2 linked regions of the Macaca fascicularis genome follow. The protein of the gene in region 1 purifies or fractionates together with the protein of each later gene. This does not show direct contact. Links are inferred from orthologs where the notes say so. Each region holds a gene or a part of one and is shown in the gene's direction. Other genes may lie near its edges.

Region 1 (4,273 bases):
ACAGGCGTGAGCCACCACGCCCAGCCTACCCTGTCTCTTAAAAAAAAAAAAAAAAAAAAGTGAATATTACAATAGAGGGGATAAGGAATAATGTGTATGTGAGGTCTATTTCTGAGACCAGAGTCACAAAACAGAATCCTGAACCCTTAGCTATTTCCTTACCACACAGGTGTTGGATACTTCCATTTTTCCAGTCTATATAATTCAATACTTTTGTGACAGAGAGGTGTTGGAGTTTTTTTCTCATTTTTTTTTTTTTTTTTTTTAGGCAACTGGTTACATACAAACAGCTATGGTCTCCCAGGAAGGAACTTTCTCTGTTGAATACAGAAGTCTGGGAAAAGACTGATGAAACTGCATGCGAGGAAGAAACAGGTCTAACTAAATGTGAATGTATACTTTTTTTAAAGCAAGGAACCACAAAGGGTAGGTCCCAAGGAAGCTGCATTGCTTGCTGCACCTGTCACGCGGGCTGTACCTTCTCTCATTTATTTCCATTTACAGCCTTGAAAACTGAGGCCTTAGGCTTTGGTTGAAAACCGAGGCCAAGGGTGCCCAGCCGTTGAGTTAAGGAGGCCCAAGCCGAATTTTGCTGGAAGTGCTCCAGTATAAAGCCTCTCTCAGAACCAGCCGCCACCAAGACGTCTTGAAGTCAAAGTAACTCACACCCTTGTCCACCTCGCCCTGCAATGAAGAAACTTCGGTCGCACAGGCTCCATAACTCATCTTGGCGTGAGCTGTGACTTACTGGGGGATGGGCCTCCTTTTCGTTCTAGCTACCAAGTGGAGCGGAGTGCCAGGTGGTGTCAGAGGGCGGGGCGGCCCCTCCAATGGTGGCACCCTCAACCACGGATAAGGTTCCAATTAGGTAAGGACGCAAGCAATGCTGTCCTTTCGGTTGACTGCTCCTTTCATTCCTTGCAAGTGGTCAGCGTCACAAAACGAATTTTCATTCGCTCTAAGCTGTCACACCAGCCTTGCTAACCGGATGGTCGGAGCCCCGTGCTTTCGCCGGACGCCCTCTTGGAACCTTCAGGCCACCCTGAGGATGGGCAGTCGGGTGCCCGCCCTCCTCCCCTACCGCCGCGGGCCTGCGCCCCCCACCCCGGACCGCGACTCGGGCGCTCTAGCGGCGCGTGCGGGCGCCCCTGGGTGCGAGCCACCGACTCACGAGCCGCTGCTTGTTGCTCCCGCCGCCGCGACCTGGGGAAGCGAAAATGAAATTGACTTTTCCGAGAAATGATGAAAGCGGCGCTGCCCGCCAATGAGCTGCGGCGGCGAACTTCCGCACCTCCCGGCCGGGCCGCTCGCGCCCTCCCTCCGCCTCCACCTCCTGGTTGCACAAGCTTGAAACAAACACTGGGGAGGAAGGGCGGAGGGAGGAGGGCGGAGAGGGGAGGCGAGGGAGGGAGCGCGGCCGGAGGAGGGCGGGGGGTGGGGGGATTTCCAGCCGCGGCTCTTCGCAGTTTCCTCTCCTTGTTTTGCTTTCGATCTGGACTGTTCTCAGGCAAGCCGGGGAGTAACTTTTAGTTTTGCTCCTGCGATTATTCAACTGACGGGCTTTCATTTCCATTTCACACACCCTAGCAACACTTATACCTTGCGGAATTGTATTGGTAGCGTGAAAAAAGCACACTGAGAGGTAACATTTTTCAAATAATAGTTGTGACTGTGCGTGTGTTTCTCTCGAGGGCATGTTTCTGGGGACTGTGGGGGGCCGTGTGTGTATGCGTGTCCTGATGCCTTGACACGATGTTTTGCAGACGGAAAATGCCGGGGTTCATAAATATTAATACCGATTTTTGGAGGAACAGTCGGCGCAATTATGGATCGCCTGATTTTAGGGGAAGCAGGTTCTGCTGCTGTTGCTGCTGCTACTGGGGCTGCTGAGGCTGCGAGGAGGAGGAGGAGGTAGAGAGGGAGGAGGAGGAGGAGGAGGAGGAGGTTGGTGGAGGTTTAATTTCACTTTTGGATTTGCAGATGCGGAGAGGTGGCTCCATGGACACAGACCTGCTGTGTGTGCTTCTGCGCCCCAGGTGTTGTGTGTGGGGGTGCAGGTCCGCTGGAGTCGGGCCTCATTTAAAACAAAATTGTGTGTATGTGCGTGTTTGTGTGTGCGCGTGTGTGTGTGCAGCCACCGCCGTCAGCGGATCCGAAGGAGGGGAGCGGGTCCTTCTCGGTGCCCGCGGCGGCGTCTCTCCAGGCTGCCTCCAGCGTAAATAAGCAGGCACCGCCGCCCGCCCGGCTGCCCGCGCCCGCGCCCCGGCCGGGAGGAGCGCCTCCAGCCACGGCCAGAGGAAACTTGCTGGGGCGCCCCGCGGCGGTCCCGGGGCTCGCCTGCCTGCCGGGCTCGGAGTCGGGTCGCAGGCGTCGGGTGCCAGCGGCCCGGGCGGGACGGCGGGCTCCGAGCCGGGCCGGGCGCCGGGCCTGGCCGACGCGCCCTGCTTCCTGGGGGCTGGGCCGCCGCCGCCGCCGCTCGGAAGGGACGCCGCGTCCTCCTTCCCGCCGGCCAGCGCCCGGTCGGGCCCTGGGGCTTTGTCATTGCACTTGTCCCGGCGCGCGAGGGGCTCGGGCGGCGCGTCCCGGGAGGGCACCGCGCCGAGGGGTCAGCCGCCCGGGCCGCGGCCTAGCGCCGTGCGCCCCCGGGTCCCCGCAGGCGCCCCCGGCCGGCCTCGCGCGCTGGGCCTGACCCGCCTCGGCTACGGAGCGGGCGAGGTGGGGGCGGGGAGCCTCCGGGGACCGAGCGGCGCCGTGGGGGCCAGCGTCCCCTCGGGGTCCCGGGGCGCGGGCCGCGGCGGGGTGGGGACGCGAGTGCCCGCCCCGTGCCCTCCGACCCGGCTCCGGGCGCCGGGTGACATTCGCCCGCTGGCCGAACATGGTTGGTGCAAAGCCGCGGCGGCCGCCACTTCCTTTCCGCCTCGCCGGTAGGGCTCGCCCACCGAGTGAAGCCGGCGGCGGCCAATCGCGGCGCCCGCCTGCTTCCAGTGGCACCGTCTGGGGGCCAGCGCCCGCCAGGGCTGGCGAAGCCGTTCCAAGTTCCAAGGGTCGCGGGTGTAACTCATGCCCCTCCCAGCACGCGCCGGCGTCTCCCCTTGGCCCCCGGTCTGGGTGCGTTTGCCACCGTCTCCTCCTTGTTCCCTAAGAAGCGGGGGAGGGGAAGGAGGCTGGCAGCCTGGGCCGGGCGCCAGGGCCGTGGTCGGGCACCAGGTGAAACGCCCGGGTCAGTCTGTGTAGGCCGGACCCTTGGCGATCGGCTGCGGATGTGATCCCGGGGACTGGCAGCCGAGGTAGCTCAGAAGAGCGAGGTGGCTTTCGCTCGTTTCTAACCCGCTACTGTCTGAAACTTGGGGACATATTACCCGCCCCCTCCCTCTTCAACCACCTCCCTCCCGTTGCTCCTTGTCCTTGGTTATGGAAGGAGAAAACTCAGTTCTAAATGAGGAAAAGTGGTGCTGGCATTTCGTCTTCAGCCACCGGCCTCCCTATGGCTGTGACTCGTCTGCTTTTGATGAATGGCCAGGAGGGATGGAGGATCGTTAGATTTCCTGTTGTGGATTTTCAGGAATCACCGAGACTGCTGTCGAGCCTGCAGTCAGTTACTAGTTTTCCTATCTACTGTAGGTTCTCTTCGAGCAGTTCAGTTTTTGGTGCTTAAGGGCAGGTGCACAAGGGGGTCTGGGGTTAGACCAGGCGGCGGATAACCTTGATGCCAGGCAGATGCAGTTATCCCCACCAGGCCCAGAGGGTGACTCTTTAACTTCACCGCTCACGAAGATTCAGGATTCTCTGATTTCCCCAACTTTCCTTTATTCTTCTTTTAGGGGGAGAAGGGGCAAAAATAGAAACCTAAAAAACCCTGGGAAAAGGAGCCTTTTCTGAGGAAACTTCAGCAGATGAAATATTTAAGACTTGAACTGGGATCTCTAGGGGGAACGTTGGAACATCTATTGATTGATGTGTCAAAGTCCGGAATTTCACGTAATTAGTGAACGATTATAACTTGTAACTTTGTTGTGTAAGAAATTACATTTTGGTCTCTTAGATCCAAGAGTTCTTGTCTGTTACGATTTGTAACTGCTTGTTAAAATTAAACATTTACATATTTCATTCTCAGTGAGTTGTCATTTTTTTGTTAGAGAAAGTTCCAGTTACTTCAGATTTACTTACCTGTAAAAATGTCATCATAATCAAAAGCAAGGATTTGTAGTCAAACTGGAAGCAAATTATGGCAAACACATGTGTGCCATGAAGTTCTGACAGCCCTATGAACAAT
Region 2 (4,123 bases), on another chromosome or scaffold:
GCTACGACCAACAAATCCGTTGTGTCATAAGCAATACTGATGAGCAGTGATCTTATAAGGCAAAAGAAATCACCGCCTTGGCCGGGCGTGGTGCTCATGCCTGTAATCCCAGCACTTTGGGAGGCCGAGGCAGGAGGATCACCTGAGGTCAGGAGTTCAAGACCACCCTGGCCAACATGGTGAAACCCTGTCTCTACAAAAATACAAAAAATTAGCCGGGCCTGATGGCAGGTGCCTTAGGCCAGCTACTCGGGAGGCTGAGGCGGGAGAATCGCTAGAACCTGGGAGGCAGAGGTTACAGTGAGCGGAGATCGCGCCATTTTGCACTCTAGCCTGGGCGACAGAGCGAGACTCCGTCTCAAAAAAAAAAAAAAAAAAAGAAAAAAGAAATCACGGCCTTGTTCTGCCTTCTGGGGCAGCATGGAGTGAGATCACAGCGCCTCAGAAATAACTTTGAAAACTGCGACTGTGCTTTACAAAAAGATACCAGTATTATTAAATGCTGCCCCTACCTTTTAAAAATCAAACTCTAGAAAAACCACTCACCTGTTTGGCCTCTCCGGCCCCTACCCCTCCCTGCCCTCAACTGCAGCTGTGCGCAGCCAGTTGACGGTTTTCCTTAAAGGCCTCGGGGTGCTCGTATCTTCTTCAGACGTTCAGCCAAAATTTTTAGAGTGCGGCTAGGGGGAAGGGTAGCGCACTCTGAATTCATTTAGCTCCATCGTTGAAGCCCAGGTTCCTAGATCAGGGCACAAAAATAAATAGAAAACACAGTTTCTGGAAGATTGTAAAACAGTTAATTTTGCAGGTGCTTCGGCATCAGTGGTGGCGATGAATGTAACATCCCCGTCGGAGGGGGGGGATAAGGTTCAATCACAGATGAAATGGTTAATACCTTATACGAAATTCACGGCGAAAAATCCTGAAACAGGACATTTAAATTCACTGCCGAGGCTTGGGGGTGGGGTGGGGAGCAGGGATCGGAAACGACGCTAGTGGTTCTTAAATGCGTTTTTACTTGGGAATGCCGGGCAGGGAAAGGAAAGGTCATCGTCTGTTTAATTTCCACCCCCAGCTCTGGACTTCCAGCATTAGCTCGCCGGGCCTCAGCTGTTGTACACACACGGCGAGGGGGGAGGGGAGGGCGGAGGCGCGGAGGAGGGGCCGGCTGGGAGGAATCTGGGCAACCTGCCGCGCATGCGCCTTTCCGGAGCAACAAGTGGGCTCCACAGAGGAAGTGTAAAGGGAAGGGGGGGAGAACTGGTGCAGAGCATGGCGGTGACGTCAGCGCTCCGCCCGGGCGGCATCCCGCGCGGCCAAGCCGGGGACAGCGCGAGCCGCAGCCGGAGCAGGAGCGCCGAGACGCGCCTCCGGAACGTAGAGTAACAATCACAACCCCACATTCCGGGCGAGCGCGAGCACGAGCGGGAAGGGATGCGACCCGGGCGGAGGCGCCGCGCGAGCGCCCTGCAACCAACGTGAGCGCCGCCAGCCGCGGCGGCCCGGGCGCCGGCCAGGCCTGGGGGCGGCGGGAGCCTGCGTGCGTGCCCTCCTCTCCTCTGCTCTCGTGCGTCCTGGAAGCAGTGGCCGCGGCGGCTCCCTCCGGGGTGCAAACCCAGCCGCCGCCAGCAGAACGGCCGACGCTGCGAAGGGGAGACGGTCCTTTCTCGGCTGCCACCCCCTCCCCCGGTCCTCCGGGGAAGCAGCGGCTTCAGCAAGATTGGACCCGGGCACCGGGTGGCACTGAACCCTCTAGCCCTCGCCCCAGGGGGCCCGTCGGGGAGAGGACGCAGCTTGTAGGGGGGCCCCCGGGGAGAGGAAGAGACAGCCCCTTTCGAGCTTCCACGAACCATCCACTCCGGGGAGGGGGCCAAGAGGCAACGGCGGCCAGCACCGGGCACCCTCGCCCCCTCCCCTCGGGCCGGGAGCTTCCAACCCAAGTCTGCAGCACCAGGAAGAAGGCGCCTGAGCTCCCCTCGCGACGAGACAACCGCAGTAGGAAGTGGGGACGAAGAGCGGGCTGAACCCGTCCGCTGCCCGGGCGGTGGAGCCCCCACGGCGAGGCGCTGCGCCGGCGGTGGAGACTCGCGTTCCCTCCAGCCCCTGGGGCAGAACTTTCTCGCCCCCCCTCCTCCCTCCCCCGCAGTCGGACTCCCTCCCCAGCCGGCCAGTCCTCCCGGAGGAGAAGGCGTCGCGGAGACAGCCCGGGCGGGGGCCTACCTTCCCCAGGGCCGGCATCATGTCGGCGGCGCAGGTGTCCTCGTCCCGGAGACAATCTTGCTACCTGTGCGACCTGCCCCGCATGCCTTGGGCCATGATCTGGGACTTCTCGGAACCCGTATGCCGCGGTTGCGTCAACTACGAGGGCGCCGATCGCATCGAGTTCGTGATCGAGACCGCGCGCCAGCTGAAGCGGGCGCACGGCTGCTTCCAGGACGGCCGCTCCCCTGGGCCGCCGCCGCCCGTCGGGGTCAAGACAGTGGCCCTGTCGGCTAAGGAAGCGGCGGCGGCGGCAGCAGCAGCAGCAGCGGCCGCGGCCGCCGCGCAACAGCAGCAGCAGCAGCAACAGCAGCAGCAGCAGCAACAGCAGCAGCAGCAGCAGCAGCAGCAACAACAGCTCAACCACGTTGATGGTTCCAGCAAGCCTGCGGTGTTGGCGGCCCCGTCTGGCCTGGAGCGCTACGGCCTGAGCGCGGCCGCCGCCGCCGCCGCCGCCGCCGCCGCCGCCGCGGTGGAACAGCGCAGCCGCTTCGAGTACCCGCCACCGCCGGTGAGCCTGGGAAGCAGCAGCCACGCCACGCGGCTGCCCAACGGCCTGGGGGGCCCAAACGGCTTCCCCAAACCAACACCGGAGGAGGGACCCCCAGAGCTGAACCGCCAGAGTCCCAACTCGTCTTCAGCGGCGGCGTCTGTGGCGTCTCGGCGTGGGACGCACGGTGGGCTGGTGACGGGGCTGCCCAACCCGGGGGGTGGCGGAGGTCCCCAGCTTACTGTGCCCCCCAACCTGCTGCCGCAGACGCTGCTTAACGGCCCGGCCAGCGCCGCAGTACTCCCCCCACCCCCGCCCCACGCTCTGGGCAGCCGTGGGCCCCCAACGCCTGCTCCCCCAGGGGCTCCTGGGGGCCCCGCTTGTCTCGGGGGTACCCCGGGTGTATCGGCCACGTCGTCCTCCGCGTCGTCTTCGACCTCTTCGTCGGTGGCAGAGGTGGGCGTGGGTGCTGGTGGCAAGAGGCCCGGCTCGGTGTCTAGCACAGACCAGGAGCGCGAGTTGAAGGAGAAGCAGCGCAACGCCGAGGCCCTGGCCGAGCTGAGCGAGAGCCTGCGCAACCGCGCCGAGGAATGGGCCAACAAGCCCAAGATGGTCCGCGACACGCTGCTCACGCTGGCTGGCTGCACGCCCTATGAGGTTCGCTTCAAGAAGGACCACTCGCTGCTGGGCCGCGTTTTCGCCTTCGACGCGGTCTCCAAGCCCGGTATGGACTACGAATTGAAGCTGTTCATTGAGTACCCCACGGGCTCGGGCAACGTGTACTCCAGTGCGTCTGGTGTGGCCAAGCAGATGTACCAGGACTGCATGAAGGACTTCGGCCGGGGCCTATCCTCGGGTTTCAAGTACCTGGAGTACGAAAAGAAGCACGGCTCCGGGGACTGGCGCTTGCTTGGGGACCTGCTCCCCGAGGCCGTGCGCTTCTTCAAGGAGGGCGTGCCTGGCGCTGACATGCTGCCCCAGCCCTACCTGGACGCCAGCTGTCCCATGCTTCCCACGGCGCTGGTGAGTCTGAGCCGCGCCCCCAGCGCACCCCCGGGGACCGGGACCCTGCCGCCTGCGGCGCCCTCGGGCCGGGGCGCAGCCGCCAGCCTGCGCAAGAGGAAGGCCTCTCCGGAGCCCCCGGACTCAGCCGAGGGCGCGCTGAAGCTGGGCGAGGAGCAGCAGAGGCAACAGTGGATGGCGAACCAGAGCGAGGCGCTGAAGCTCACCATGTCCGCCGGGGGCTTCGCGGCGCCGGGGCACGCGGCAGGGGGTCCGCCTCCGCCGCCCCCACCTCTGGGACCTCATTCTAACCGGACCACCCCACCTGAGTCAGCCCCCCAGAACGGTCCGTCCCCCATGGCCGCCCTCATG

The links. The genes of interacting proteins can lie anywhere in the genome.
Region 2: the proteins of IRF2 (region 1) and IRF2BPL purify together in Homo sapiens (affinity purification with mass spectrometry; 3 studies listed by BioGRID and IntAct, counting the BioPlex papers as one, with this or other methods). This does not show direct contact. The link is inferred for Macaca fascicularis from reciprocal best matches to the Homo sapiens genes IRF2 and IRF2BPL.

What each region holds. Positions count from the first base shown.
Region 1 is NC_088379.1:189,258,902-189,263,174, reverse strand, and holds the start of IRF2 (interferon regulatory factor 2), read left to right. Parts: upstream 1-1,470; 5' UTR 1,471-1,642; intron 1,643-1,763; exon of another isoform or gene 1,764-1,911; intron 1,912-1,978; exon of another isoform or gene 1,979-2,036; intron 2,037-4,273. UniProt on the Homo sapiens protein: Specifically binds to the upstream regulatory region of type I IFN and IFN-inducible MHC class I genes (the interferon consensus sequence (ICS)) and represses those genes. Also acts as an activator for several genes including H4 and IL7.
Region 2 is NC_088381.1:144,973,332-144,977,454, reverse strand, and holds the start of IRF2BPL (probable E3 ubiquitin-protein ligase IRF2BPL), read left to right. Parts: upstream 1-1,323; 5' UTR 1,324-2,239; coding exon 2,240-4,123. UniProt on the Homo sapiens protein: Probable E3 ubiquitin protein ligase involved in the proteasome-mediated ubiquitin-dependent degradation of target proteins. Through the degradation of CTNNB1, functions downstream of FOXF2 to negatively regulate the Wnt signaling pathway.